4 linked regions of the Drosophila melanogaster genome follow. The protein of the gene in region 2 interacts with the protein of the main gene of each other region in a pairwise test. Each region holds a gene or a part of one and is shown on either strand. Other genes may lie near its edges.

Region 1 (3,106 bases), on a different chromosome or scaffold from region 2:
TTAGCTTGCGTGATTTTATGTTCAACAACACTACAATAACTCTTTCTTTTTAGATAATGCTGAAACCCGAATTTCTCTGACAGAAACCCTACGTAAGAAGGATTTCCACACTTGTAAGTTTAAAGTGTTATGTGTACGTATATATAAATATGGGAGTATTTGAGGCCAAGTCTTAAGCTATTGTCTAGGAAACAAAATACCAAATACAAAAACGAAACTAAGGGTATTCTTTAAAACAACATGAATTTTGTTTGTATTTATTAAATCTATGAAAATGATCCGTAAACAAAAGTAAAGAAAAATAATTTTGCACATATTTTTTTTAGGAAATCTTTAGAACTGTCTGTAAAAATATATATTTAGAGTAACCCCTGAATAATGATTAAATACTTATGCATAATTTTTATTTATTTTACAGGGCTCCCTTGCATGATGCCAGAAAAGTGGACGTAAAAAATCTAATAAAATTATATTTATAGAAACAGAATGCAGCTTGCCATAGTTTTATTTTTTAAATATTTTTGAGAGACGGTTGGGAAAAGGGAGAAAAAATATTGATACATCGTGTAGGCTGGAATAACTAATTCAAAGTCACACCAATACTTTTTCCAAACCAGTTTTGCAATCTGCAGTAAAGTTTTTACAAATTGATCAAATCACTTTCGTTATAATGAGGTTTCGGTCGCTGAAGAACATATGGCCAAAAGAGAAGTTGGAGCAATTCCTATTTTTGTTCATTTTATGTGGCTTGCCCGCCATATACTATGTTCTAATGGAGATAATTCTGCCGGAGTTGTCGGATTATTGGTCACCTGGTTACGTATTTCAGCTGCTGCTGGGACTGTTCCTCTTTTCGAATGTGATGTCCAACTATGTCATGTGCATCCTGGTGGACCCCAGCATCGATCCCAAGCTTATGAAGAATCAGTTGGTGCGCGGACAGCACAGTGAGGACTGGCACGAGTGCGACAAGTGCGGGATTCTTGCTCCACCCCGGTCACGTCACTGCAGGAAGTGTGGCGTCTGTGTCCTGATGCGAGATCATCACTGCTTCTTTACTGGTTGCTGCATCGGTCATGAGAACTATAGATACTTTTTCTATTTTCTTATCTACTTTTTTCTAAGCTGCATGATTTCACTAACGTCATCTTCGATATTTATTTACGTTCTGCATGGGGGCAGATACCAGCTCTTTATGCTGACACATCCCGCACCGAACTCTGCCTATTTTAACTCGCTTATTATCAGGATAATCTACTTTAAGTTGCCCGATATATACGAGCTGGTGTTCACTCTGGTATTCGTCCTGCTGTGGATCGGGGTATGCGTAGCTACCTATGTGGCTTATGATCAGTGGTCTCGTGGCTATTTTTGCTATGATTTTGAACTTCAAAACATTCCTTTTGACCGAAAACTGCGCCGAAACTTCAAGACGTTCTTGGGCAGGCGAATGAAGTGGACCTGGATCTCCGGATTTGTTCCCAGCCAGCTGGACCACGACGGATTTGATCTGGATCCCGACAACGAACGTGTGGCAGATTGGTGCTCAGAAACAACCATCAAGGATGGCTAAATAATTTTATGCATTCTCTGTGTTTTCCAAATTACCGGTGCGATGAAAAATTAAAAATTCGAATTCATTTGATTAGTTCAGGCATGCAAGAAAGCTTTCCAAATTAAAAAGTTAAATATTTAAGGATGTGTTATTATGCGATATGTGTATGTTTCGTTTTATTTGGTCTCTACTGTGCTTGCTGATTTTCCCCAGGTTGGCAGTCTCGTCAGCTGTTTTCCTGATAACATTGACTTGCCGCAAAATGCTTGTTTGTTTAGTCTGAAATTGGCATCTGGTCAAGATCAACTGCCAGTAGGTAGAGACCACATATGGAGCCCACCAATTCGGAGTCGCGGCACCGCCTAAATGGAGGGGGCAGGAGTTCCGCGCCAGCAGGCTCCGGAGAGTACATCAAGGTGGTGGAGTCCCAATGCGAGACCGATGGATTCGTTAATGAACAGTGGACGGAACCGGCGATGCCAGGTCCAGTGCCTTGGAAGACCATTATTATCATTCTTTTGCTGTTTATCGGTGGCATTGTGAGTAGTGATTACTGGTGCCCACACATACATGCACAGTTCCTTCGAACTTCTGATCTGATGTCTTTGTCTTCAGGTTTGCATCGCCTTTGCCACCTTAAACTGGGTGACGGACACGAGCCGGGAGCGATCGGATCGGGTGTGGGCGTTGGGTATCATCGGGGCACTGACCTTCATCCCGGGAAGCTACTATGTGTACGTGCTCTTCTGCATAATGCTCAACCGCAACGGATTCACCATGGACGAGATACGAAGACTCGGCTGAAAAGGAGAAACCAAAGACACCAAATGTTTCGTCAAATAGAGTTTATTGCTTTTACACTACAGTTATTCACACATTTCATTGGCATAATTTCTTTAGCAACAATCTTAATATGTAGTTCATTATGATACATGTGTATTGCCCCGGTAATTGTATAAAAATATTTTTTAAACACGAGCTTCGTTATCAAAATGTATAATGCTTGGCGTGGCTTCTAGTGCGCGGAACATTGGCTATCTATTTAAATAGCGCATCGCTTGCTTAAATATGTATATGTTTTACAGGCATGAACTATAGGTTATATGATTTATGTTATGGCCATTTTCTCTATCAAGCTTGGGGCACAGTATAACTTTGTGTTTCAGCTTAATTATATACAGTGTTATGCGTTACATGTTGTATCTATGTAGGTAAGAATTCTTTACAAACAATTGCTTTTCGTGTTTACGGATATAACAGGGCGCGTGGGAATCAAATACTTTAACAAGAGTAGGGGATTAGTATGGGGTGTATACACAATACATACACAAACATTGTAACGAAATTAAACTAGCGACAGGTAACATTTCACTGCTCCACGACGGTCACCTCGATGGGCGGAATGAACTTCCACACATGCGCCTGCTGCTCATCGTAGCTGGAGGAGAACATGACCGATTGGCCGACACTCTCCGCTTCTGCCGGACAGGAGCGGGTTAGCAATGACGACGGCTGCTCCGACTGCTTCTGCGGATTGCTGGTGCATTCGAT
Region 2 (3,021 bases):
ATGCTGATATCTGTCCTGGATATCCTTGCGCTTCAGCTTGAAGGCGGCGGTTACCAGCCCCATGTCCGGAGACCAGACCTCCTTACAAAGTGTGATGGCGGCGGGAACCTCATATTTTTGCAATTTACCTTTAAGATTAAACAATTTGCCATTAAAAACTTTGAAAAATACTCAAATCTGCATCGTAGCTTACATTTCCGCGCATGCTCAGCAATTTCCTTGAGAATAGCCTTCTCTATGATCGGTGATGAGCACAGCTCCTCAAAGGACTTATCACCCAGGCCATGTTTCTGTGCCAGCTCCTCCAAATGGTTTTGGTTGGGAACGACCAGCGCCACTGTGTACTGCTTTGTCGGATCTCCGTATACGCAAATGTTCTCGATGATTCCGCAAGTCTTAAGCTCAGATTCAACTTTGCCAAGGGAAACATACTCGCCGGCCTGCAGCTTAACCAGATCCTTCTTACGATCTGCAAAAAGCGTATTATAATAAAAAAAATGAAAGAAAAAGCACTGTGCTAAATAACTTACCAATAATCTTAAGTACGCCATCAGCTTGTATTTCGCCAATGTCGCCGGTTTTAAACCATCTCTGTCCATCCTCCTCAAAGAAATCCTCGTTGGTCTTGCCGGGCAACTTGTAGTATCCCTGGGAGACACACTCGCCACCAATGAGAACCTCACCCTGGGGATAAGGTTTATTTGTGACGCGGTAGTTGCCTTCTTCCCAGTTGACTAGACGGATGTCGCAGACAGTTAATGGTCCTCCAGTGCGTCCATAGGTCATATCACGGTCTTGTATTGGGTATAAAGTTATTTACTTGTTTTCAAAAGAAAGGTCGATCTGCGATCACTTACAGTCCATGACAGTGGCTCCAGACGTAGTTTCCGTAAGGCCATAGCCCTGAATCAGCTCCAAGCACAAGCAGGTCTTGATCTGCTCATGTGTATCTGCTGACAGAGGCGCTCCGCCAGACATGATAATGCGCACTTTGCCACCCATTAGCTTTGCCACCTTCTTGAACACCAGTCTGCAAGAAAAATAATAGTTTTAGTTAGCAACTCATGATATTTATGAGCACACCGTTCTTACTTATCAATCAGCGGCGTCTTGTACCCCCTCTGCACCCACTTGACTTTGTACTGGTAAAGGAATTTGAAGAGTGATTTCTTGAACGCCGAGCCAGAGTTAACCTTGTCGTTAATACCCTTGGAAATGCGATCCAATATCAGCGGCACCGAAGTCATGCAGGTGGGCTTCAGGACGGTGGCATCGCCCTTGCACCCGCGTTTGATCTTGCTGCTAGTGTCGATCAGAGTCAAGGGGGTCGAGTAGCCAATTGGAACGCCAGTCATGAGACACACACTTTCCGCAACCAATTCAAAAACGTGAGCCAGGGGCAGGAATCCGATCAGTACATCATCCGGATAGATAGGCACCATATCAACAAATCCCTTCATTGTCGCAATGCAGTTCTTGTGCGAGAGGAGGACACCCTTAGGTGTGCCAGTGGATCCGGAAGTGTACATGATAATGGCAATGTCATCTCCCTTGGGTGGAACGTGCTCTGTGGGATACAAAATAAAGTCAATTAGTACTAGTTTAATATTTAACAAATTCCTTGCGCATAGCACGCTATACATATGCTGTCAACATTTCAGTGCTGAATTAAAAGCGCATACTTTCGGTAAACAGAAAGAACTCTTTCCAAATTGTGTAGGGTGATTTTTTAGTTCAGACACCATTCGAAATGGCTGAAGTCCTAGAGGAATTCATCACCCTAACGCCCTTGACTTGTGTGCAACAATGCAATGCTTTACTAGGCTCAACATCAGGAAAGCCGAGAAGCTGCTCCGTATTTTTTACACTATTTGGCGTATACTGCGGCGTTCTCATCTTTCGGGCGTATCGCACATATTCCTCTAAGCAAGAAAGAGACGAGGAAAAGATAACCGAAGGAGTTACCCTTGAGGCTAAGGAGGAAGATTTGATCATAGGACCTGGTTCCAGTCTTGTGAACGAATATGTAGAACAAACGAAGCCGATTCTGTTGCAACCCGTCGGTTTTTCCAGTACTGACATGAGGTGAGAGTTGTAGATTAAAACACTGGATGACCCATCAACACATTCTGTCTCGATTAGATGGCGCTATTGCAACCACTTGCCGGAAGCAGAATTAGCACAAGGCTCTGATAGTGAAAACAGATCAACCGAAAGAGATGACATTGATAACCTCGAAAGGATGAGCAATGTTGTGGATGATAATGATGCGCAGAAGCCGGTTGCATCCACATCGATGGCAACGGCTCGGGCGCCTGAGGATAACGCCGATGGTGAACACGTCGAGCCCACACCATTTTCGGTGTGAAACACGATGCATTTTAGCAAATTTATCGTGTAATTGACATAAATAAATCATCTTTTAAGACCCTTTCAAAACGTACCAAATTTACTGTCCTGTCCTGTCTTGACAACTTGGTTAAACGGCAAGATCTTGACGCCCTCCTTGAAGCCAGTGGTTTCTGTCTTTTGCAGCTGATCCTCAATATAGATAATAGTCTTCACCAATGGGCATTTGTCGAGCAGCGTCTTAAACTTGGGCAGCAGATCATGGGAGGTGATAACCGTGGTGACTTCCGTTTCGGTGATGCCTGGCAACAGAGCAAAATATTATTTAAAAACCATACACATGGTAAGCCAATTTACTCACAATGAGCAACTCCATCATCGCCCAGCGTAGCATAGACAGTGACAATGGGCATAGCCTGCTTAAAGCATCCGTGGGCAGCTATCATCCATTCGGCTCGCGTTTCGGCAAAGATGACAATGTTCTCGCGTGGTTTCTGGCCAAGTTCTCGCAGACCGCGCCCGAAATTAGCCGCCGTGCGCTCCGCCTCGGTGAACGTCTTCCACTTGTAGTCACCGAGGTTGTACTTCTTGAAGACTCGACCGTTCTGCTGCACCTCATCCTCCTCGCTGAGGATCTGCCGGGTGCCCAGACAACGCTTCGACGTGTAAGTT
Region 3 (3,045 bases), on a different chromosome or scaffold from region 2:
TTGAAGCGCCTTTGCACTGCACTCTGGTGTCCGCTCTGCCCGGAGTGGGAAATGCAAATCAATTGATCACTTCGCCGGTCCACGACTGATGGCCTTCCACCCACCGACCACCGCCCAGCCAGTTCCGCCCCCTAAAAAGCCACCCCCTCTGCGACCAAACACTCCAGTGCACTAAAAGTGGCCGCTTCGCTGAGCAGCGAGTGGATGAGGAAGACGACTTTGTACTGCATTTCATGAGCCACCGCATATGCGTTTTCCCCTACACTTTTCCCACTGCCGTTTGCAACTGCTGTTTGTCGCTGATTTCGGTGCGGGGAGGGGGGAACTCTTTTAGTGGCAATTTTGCGGGATGCTCGGGGAAAGGAGGTTGCATTCCTGGGATTTGCTCGAAAGTGGTTTTTAGCAGCAGCACAAAAGTGTTGCACACTTTTTGGCGTCAATTGCTGCTTCAGAATAATTCCCAGCATTTTTTGTCATATGAGCACAGGCTTAATTAAACGATTTGCAGGCATTAGCTTTAATGACTCCATGACGCTTAAAAGCGGATTTTAACCGAATTTAGCTACAACACATTAGAGTACTGATATCAATTTATTTCAAGAACTTGTATTGATAAAGGGAATGGTAAGGAACTGAGCAAGCCTGTTCGCTTTCATTAGGATCAATCTATAAGTTACGAAGAGGAAACCTCTGTGCTGCTGGATTCAGTGCTGGTAGCCTCAGTGGTCGAAGTTGTGGTACTGTTGGAGAGTTCAGTTCCATTCGGAGGCAGACCCCATGGACCGCCAGGACCACCCTGCTGCTGACCTCCCTGCTGACCTCCCTGTTGTCCTTCCTGGGATCCTTCCTGGGATCCTTCCTGGGAGCCTCCCTGCTGGCCTCCTTGCTGACCATTTTGAGATCCTCCTTGCCCACCCTGCTGTCCACCTTGTGGTCCGCCTTGAGCAGCAGCCAGGGCAATCAGGGCGAAGAGGGCAATCAGAATGAAGGAACGCATTTTCTCTCTGGCAGTTCGGCTTTGCTTAGTGGAAATTCAGGTTGTGATGCTTTTTCCAAAAGCCTAAGCCTTTTTATATTCTCTAAGACTTCATATTTTCCCACAGAAGTCCCCTCAAAAACAGCTGCTGCCCGGTTACGTCACAGAAATCATATCAAAGAAACGTATGAGGTAAATGGAAAAAACCGAAGCACAATTTGTTCTTGAAAAAGTACAAATGTTTAGCATTGACTCATTCATTTATCGTCTTTGCATTAGAAGCAGCTGCTTTAGCTTCTAGATTTTCATTTCTAGTTCTGTTTTTGATTTACTACTTTAGTTTCCATTTATTTACTATTTGCGCTCAGCGTCTTGATCTGTTTGCATATTTACAAGTTTAAATTATAAATATTGGTAATAATTCAAGCAAAGTAATTTTTTGGCAAGCTCAATTTAAAATCCTTTCAGGTAAGTTTTGAAGACAACATGGAGCCGAGCTCAGTAGCCACTCAATTATATTTTAGTTACACATCAAGAAAATATTGACTTTGAGGAGCACGTGGGCGGTGGAGCTAAGAAGAAACAGTTGATCCCTCACGGCGAGAGCGTAATAAATTAGCCAGCAATGAACTCCAGCAGCGCTGGCGTCATAAATCATCTTCGGGACTAGGATTTTGAGTCCTAATTATCGCGCTACTCACTGGGCCAAAGCCTTTTTCTTCTGCTCCATCTACCGCCAGGAGCTCCCACATCCCTCTCCGACAACCATGACGAGTCCATCCATGACCAAAGCTAATCACGAGCACTGGCCTGTGCGAAACTGAAGCCAAGCGCAAAAAATGTTGCCACGCATAAAAATTTTGTGGGCCGCAATGGAAACTGAGGCGATTATCTCGTGTTTTTTTCCCAGAAGGGGCGTGAGTGGGCGGGGCTGGGGTTGCGATGGGTAGGGCCTGGGATTGGGAAATGATGGAATGATGCCCCGACGGCACCAGCAGCCGCTCAATTATTCCTGCCTATTTATCCTGGCTTCGATTTTGTGTGTGTTTTTGCGGAGTTAAAGCGTCGAAATTGTAACTGAAAATCCGTTTAAAGACGTCTCTGGGCGGCTGATGTTGAAAAAATTTGATTTTAATTGAATTTCTCATTTTCGGCGTGGCCTATTCAGGGGTTTTGTTGAGGGCCGTGACGTTGGCAAATTCAATTTGCCGCTAAATGAGCTAAATGCGATTAAACTCGGGCAGACAGACTGCACGGCTCCCCGTCCAGTTCGCCATATTAAAGCCGAGGTCGTCGAAGCCTCTTAGCTGGGCCAAATTGTATTTTGGCCAGGACCAGCAAGACAAGACCGCCTTTGCGGCATGTGTAACATACAGTCATGGTCAAAATTATTTTCACAAAGTGCATTTTTGTGCATGGGTCACAAACAGTTGCTTGTGCAGCAAGTGGGGGGAGGTGAAATGCAAAAAAACTTTTGCTTTTGCAAATTCAAACCTATGCAGAGTCAGATGAAAGAAGAATTGAAAAAATAACTGTTCCTATGCGCAAGGAAGAGGCAAATGAAGAGATCTTTATCAGTTGTCAGAAGTATTTGCACACGGTTTCGTCGCATCACAATTATTTTCACAACGCAATTTCTTCTTCAGTGATTGGTTTAGAGTGACAAGTGCCGGTTTGTTTGCTTAAATACATTTAAATTATTGAATAAAAATTAGATTTAATCATTTTCCTATTACAGTTATTAAATAAAATGCCCAAAACAAAAGAGTTAACAGTTGAGGCCCGGGCTGGTATTGTTGCTAGGTTTAAAGCCGGTACACCTGCGGCCAAAATAGCTGAAATATATCAAATTTCGCGTAGAACTGTCTACTACTTAATAAAAAAGTTTGATACAGTTGGCACATTAAAAAATAAAAAAAGATCAGGCCGAAAACCTGTGCTGGACCAAAGGCAATGCAGGCAAATACTTGGAGTTGTGGCGAAGAATCCTAGTGCCAGTCCGGTAAAAATTGCCTTAGAATCAAAAAATACAATTGGCAAACAAGTTAGTAGTTCTACAATTCGTCGCA
Region 4 (4,886 bases), on a different chromosome or scaffold from region 2:
CCATTTGGCTTCTCTCTGGCTTCTTAGGGCCGGCGGTCATTGCGGCTCAGTCCGGCACTCTGTGGCCTTCATGCCAGCAGAAGACAGCCAAAGAGGTCCTGCCGTAGAAGGGGGGGATTGTTGTCGACGGGGGGAGGGGAGAGGACAGGACGCAGGATGCAGGATGCAGGAAAGCGTTGTCAGTAACCTGTGAGCAAAACATTGTAAATAAAATGCAGCTGGATTGCGAAGGAAGGAGGTTGTGGAGTTCTGTGTCTGGCTTGCTGACCTGCGGCGCTTTTGTGTTAATTGCGGTTGCATTTAATTACAGTTCGTTGCAACTGGCCAGCTTTCCCGACTGCACTGCGTTTTAACCACCTCCACCCCCCGCACATTTTCCACCAAACCGAGCCAAGACCTGAGCTAAGCTTTTAATTAAAATTAAAAATATTTGGTCTACTTTGGCAGCATGACTTTGGCATGTGTTCGACTATGCAGGCCATAAGCCAACATTGTTTACTGCGTGTGTGTATTGGCCAATTGCAATAAATCTTCTAGCCACATCATCAAATGTAAATTAAGGTCGAGTTTATTGAACCACAACGAATTCGAAGTTTACTTGTACACCGCAATGATGTCCAAAATGCTAACATAGGTGCCCACCACTCCGCCAAAGATGCCAAAGCACAAAAGCAGCAGATTGATGATCAACTTTATCCGGAATGGTCCATAGCCCTCGGTGTACTGGACGCAGATCTGGAGTAGCACGGGGAAGATGAGGCCCAGGATCGAAAGGCAAAAGGAGCCAACCAGGGAGAGGAAGACCGATAGATCCGGAATGGCAACCGCGCAGCCAACTAAAAATATATAAACATATTAAAACTAGTATTTCATCAAATGTTTCTTTCCTTACAAGTGAGCAGCACGATTATGGCTCTGAAAATCAGTTCATAGAATGTCTGCCTGGTTTCCTTGAAGCGCTTGGCCAAGTATTTATCCCACAGGATGTGGGCAGTCACATAGCCCTGCAAGGCATATGAGATCCAAGTGGTGATGGCAAAGAATACCTTTACCACCTGAGCGGGTCTAAAAGGCGGAATTCAACATTAAGTGGCTAACACTTAAATAGCATTGAGAACTCACATTTCAGACTGCGGAATATTCAGTGTAATACTGCCCTCCGACTCATTGCCATATTTCCAGTAGCCAAAGAATCCGAGCAGAACATACAAGCCCAGCACTATGGACATGCCACTATTCAAAATGCCACAGGGGCCCACAAAGGATTTGGGCGTGGCCATATTCTCCTCAATTGCCAGGATCTTTTCAAAGAAGATAAATGATTAAATTGCATTATATATGATATGTTTATTATTTTTAAGACTTACCACTCCCACTGCTTCCAGAGCAAAGAGCACTGTGCCAAAGAAGGTGGGCAACTTTCCGGCGGCCACAAAAGGATCTCGTTCACTTAGGGGTGGTAGCTCCTCAAAGATGTAGTACAAAATGATGCCGAAACCTAGTTAAAAATTAAAAAGTGGAACTTAATGACTTCTTTTTAGAAAAAGTATGCAAATTAAACAAAAAACTTACCCACTAGAAGCAAAAGATTTGCTGCACTGGAAAAAGGCGCGAGTAGCTTTAAATTCTTTATGCTATATATCAGCAGGAGTGGCACAATGATGATGCACATGTGTATTCGCACATCCCAGACCACCAGATACTCATCCACCAGCTGCTTTATGCTTTCCGCTATGAAAACCACGTAGACGCAACAGATGCCGAAGTGGTAAAAGGCCAGGAAGCCATCTACAAAGGGACTGATGAAAAATAACACTATAAAATATGATTTACATACAATATATAAAACATAAAACAAGTAAGTATGCCTCATGCCTAAGTTAAATGCTAAAGCCACTAGGAAACAAATTTCACAATAGGTACTCAACACTTGGCTAAAATGTAAATTGGTAAACCTTCCGCAACTTAAGCAAGTAATTGAATAAAAAAAACCCTCAAGATATTATTGATAAGCGATGTAAACCAATTACTAAACAAACTATTGGGATGTGCCCCCATATTTTAGGGTGCTATTGTAAAGATAAAGATACAATAAATCGTAGTGAAAATCTATTGATCAACAACAAGATAAGATTTTCATTACCCAATTGAGTAATCATTAAAAAGCACTTAGAAAGTTAATCAATATATAGAGGGAAGTTATAGATAGCAGTTGTTTTGCCGAGTTACTTCACTTACACGGCAATGGGTGCCAAACAACGCAGCCAGGGTGGACCTTGTTTGAGTCCCAGATTCATGGCCTGCGAAAAGCTGACGTAGGGAACCCGCTGCCGCTTGCACAGTATGTACATGCATTTGATCTGTAAATCAAGTATATATAAGTAAGTAAGGAAATTTCTATGTGACTCCCACCAAAAACCCACCAAAATGTGCAGGCAGTAGAGGGCCAGCGATCCAATGATCAGCGTGAGAAGGGTGCCATTCACATATCCTGCGTGTGCGAAGGCACTGGGCATGGCCAGGACGCCAGTGCCCACGGAAGCCTTCAGGAAGTGGGCGAATGTCTGAAAGTTTCTGGGGAAAGTGGGGCCTGAAAATGATTCTCTGAGCTCAGCACTGTTGAAAATCTATGCTTACGTAGTGGGATTCTTCAGCTCGCGGTGCTGATGAGGATCGTAATCATCGTTACTGCCATTCGCTGATTTTGTTGGGGTCGTTAATTCCAGTGTGGTTGGGTAAACCGTCACGGTTTTTATATCGTCGCTGTTGGGGGAGCAATTAAAAGTTGTTTTTGAGGTGAATTGATTGATTGATAAATGGGTTCGGGTCGTTAAACAATAAGCGCCAAGGAGGTTCCTCGAGAAAAGATGTTGGTTCAAAATTAAAGGTCGTAAAAATATACAATTTCTTAACCGGGATTTGGTTGAGGCTAATGTTTTGTCATTTATTGTGTTTGCGCATCAGTTAGCTTATTTTTTACGATCTCGAAACCAGAAGAATACGAAGACTACTCACTTCATAGCGATAAAGTAGCGACCGAGTATTTGATAAAGCTACTTGAGCTCGCGGGCGTATAAATCTTTTATCACACGCAATTAAGTCGCCAAAGAGACAAAGATCGTTTCGTGATTGCGAATTCCCGGCCCAACCAGATTTCTTGGGGACTCAACCGAGTGCCTGGCCCACCGGACGGATACTAAATTTCGGATCCCGGTCGAAGCCGCTCAACACCTCTCGTTCGTAAACCGTGCTGATAATCTTGGAAAGATAATTGCACGATAATCAGCCGTATCAGAAGACTTCGCGGGGAACGTGGGAAACCGGAGTGCAGCAATCCGAAATGTATGCCAAAATATTATGTGCACTCTTAAGTGGAAATAATAAAACCAGAATGAAGGCCTTAACCAGTTTGCTGATCGGTTTGAACCTCCCGAAAAGTTCATCGACAATCATCAAACTCTTTATACCTAATATATTATGGCAAAAGCTTGGACATCATTGAATTCAACATTTCTAGTTAGTCGATACTTCCACACAAAGCTTACATTTTACTTTACAGAATAAAGCTTTAGGATATCAGGGCGTATACGTGATGTAGAGATGTATATTTTCAATTTTACACAGTAACCTCTGAAAATGACATCTCCTGTTTTGAGCAACAGTAAAATTTAAAAACATTTACTTTAAAACAAAAGTGCTCCCGAAAATGTCTAAGAATCCACTTCGATTGTTCATAAAACCTGTAATTCTTCGCCGCCTGTCTGATAAGCCCAAGTTGAGCAACAAGCCATCGAACACCCCTCGCCCACCAAAGGATCCACCGGATGAGGGCTACCAACCGACCAGTGTCGATCACAATGGGATCGATGTGCCGCCGTTTGTGAGACCCTCTTCCTTCCGCCAGTTCAGTGGACCGGATGAGAAGCTGGGACCAGGAGCAGGCAAAGCGCTGCCCTACAAGAACCCAACTTACTTTGGCTATCATCGATTCTCATTTATGGAACTCACGGTCACGGCTGTGGAGTTACGAGACGAACGTCGATTGGACGGAGGACTACAGGCATCCATCGAAGCCGACGAAGAATCCGAGTGTGGCGAGGCCCAACTGGAGACCATGAAGAAGCTGGAAAGCGAGTGCGATGCGATACTCTCCAACCAAGCCAAGAAAATCCAGAAGGCCAAATCTTCGGCCGAGGAGAAGTGTCTCCAGGAGATGAGTGAGGAGGAGCTAAAGGAGTGGTGCAAGAAAAAGGAGGAGGACATCAAAAAGAAGGAGCAGGAAAAGAAGGAGGCCAAGTCCTCGCCCAAGGAGAAGAAAATCCAGGACATGAGCGAGGAGGAACTGAAGGCTTGGTGCCAGAAAAAGGAAGAGGACATCAAAAAGAAGGAGCAGGAAAAGAAGGAGGCCAAGTCCTCGCCCAAGGAGAAGAAAGTCCAGGACATGAGCGAGGATGAACTGAAAGCTTGGTGCCAAAAGAAGGAAGAAGACATCAAAAAGAAGGAGCAACAAAAGAAGGAGGAAGGAAAGTGTGAAGGCGATGACAACAAAAAGGATTAAATAAAGCAGACTGCGTTACTCTTGAAAAATGAACAATATTGTTCAAAAATGTACGTTATTTGGTAGCTTAATAAATGAATTGTAGTTTAATTCCAGTATTTTTAGTGTGTTGAGCTTTGAAAAAGCTCTTTCGAAAACTGGTATATACTGGTGGCATATTAGCGGTCACACCATCCGATTTTCTCTCCCAACGAATTGAAATCAGTTGTTCGGTGTGCGTGTGTGGAAAAAGTTCGAGTTCGCCGAGAGAAGCGTGAAAATCCGATATCGAAACTACGTTTTTTTTTTAGTCATTATACCGATTGGCTATGCAAATTTAATTGCGGAT

The links.
Region 1: the proteins of CG30355 (region 2) and CG2611 interact in a two-hybrid assay, tested with the Drosophila melanogaster proteins (one large-scale study listed by BioGRID).
Region 3: the proteins of CG30355 (region 2) and CG12506 interact in a two-hybrid assay, tested with the Drosophila melanogaster proteins (one large-scale study listed by BioGRID).
Region 4: the proteins of CG30355 (region 2) and acs interact in a two-hybrid assay, tested with the Drosophila melanogaster proteins (one large-scale study listed by BioGRID).

Annotation. Positions count from the first base shown.
Region 1 is NT_033779.5:20,648,367-20,651,472, forward strand, and holds CG2611 (uncharacterized protein), read left to right. Parts: upstream 1-1,822; 5' UTR 1,823-1,884; coding exon 1,885-2,094; intron 2,095-2,170; coding exon 2,171-2,359; 3' UTR 2,360-2,532; downstream 2,533-3,106. Other genes in the region: CG18810 (uncharacterized protein), read left to right, coding at 671-1,573; brun (brunelleschi), read right to left, coding at 2,924-3,106.
Region 2 is NT_033778.4:8,678,558-8,681,578, reverse strand, and holds CG30355 (uncharacterized protein), read left to right. Parts: upstream 1-1,625; 5' UTR 1,626-1,750; coding exon 1,751-2,085; intron 2,086-2,142; coding exon 2,143-2,368; 3' UTR 2,369-2,433; downstream 2,434-3,021. Other genes in the region: Acsl (Acyl-CoA synthetase long-chain), read right to left, coding at 1-128, 194-469, 531-794, 858-1,030, 1,093-1,567, 2,445-2,651, 2,711-3,021.
Region 3 is NT_033779.5:771,547-774,591, reverse strand, and holds CG12506 (uncharacterized protein), read right to left. Parts: upstream 1,046-3,045; 5' UTR 998-1,045; coding exon 674-997; 3' UTR 575-673; downstream 1-574.
Region 4 is NT_037436.4:1,969,951-1,974,836, reverse strand, and holds acs (arcus), read right to left. Parts: upstream 3,200-4,886; 5' UTR 3,021-3,199; coding exon 3,016-3,020; intron 2,764-3,015; coding exon 2,638-2,763; intron 2,575-2,637; coding exon 2,424-2,574; intron 2,361-2,423; coding exon 2,239-2,360; intron 1,800-2,238; coding exon 1,573-1,799; intron 1,499-1,572; coding exon 1,368-1,498; intron 1,302-1,367; coding exon 1,123-1,301; intron 1,066-1,122; coding exon 893-1,065; intron 837-892; coding exon 595-836; 3' UTR 552-594; downstream 1-551. Other genes in the region: CG11815 (uncharacterized protein), read left to right, coding at 3,707-4,558. UniProt on the Drosophila melanogaster protein: Amino acid transporter which has pH-dependent electrogenic transport activity for alanine, glycine and proline. Plays a role in positive regulation of growth by directly or indirectly modulating the effects of the TOR signaling pathway.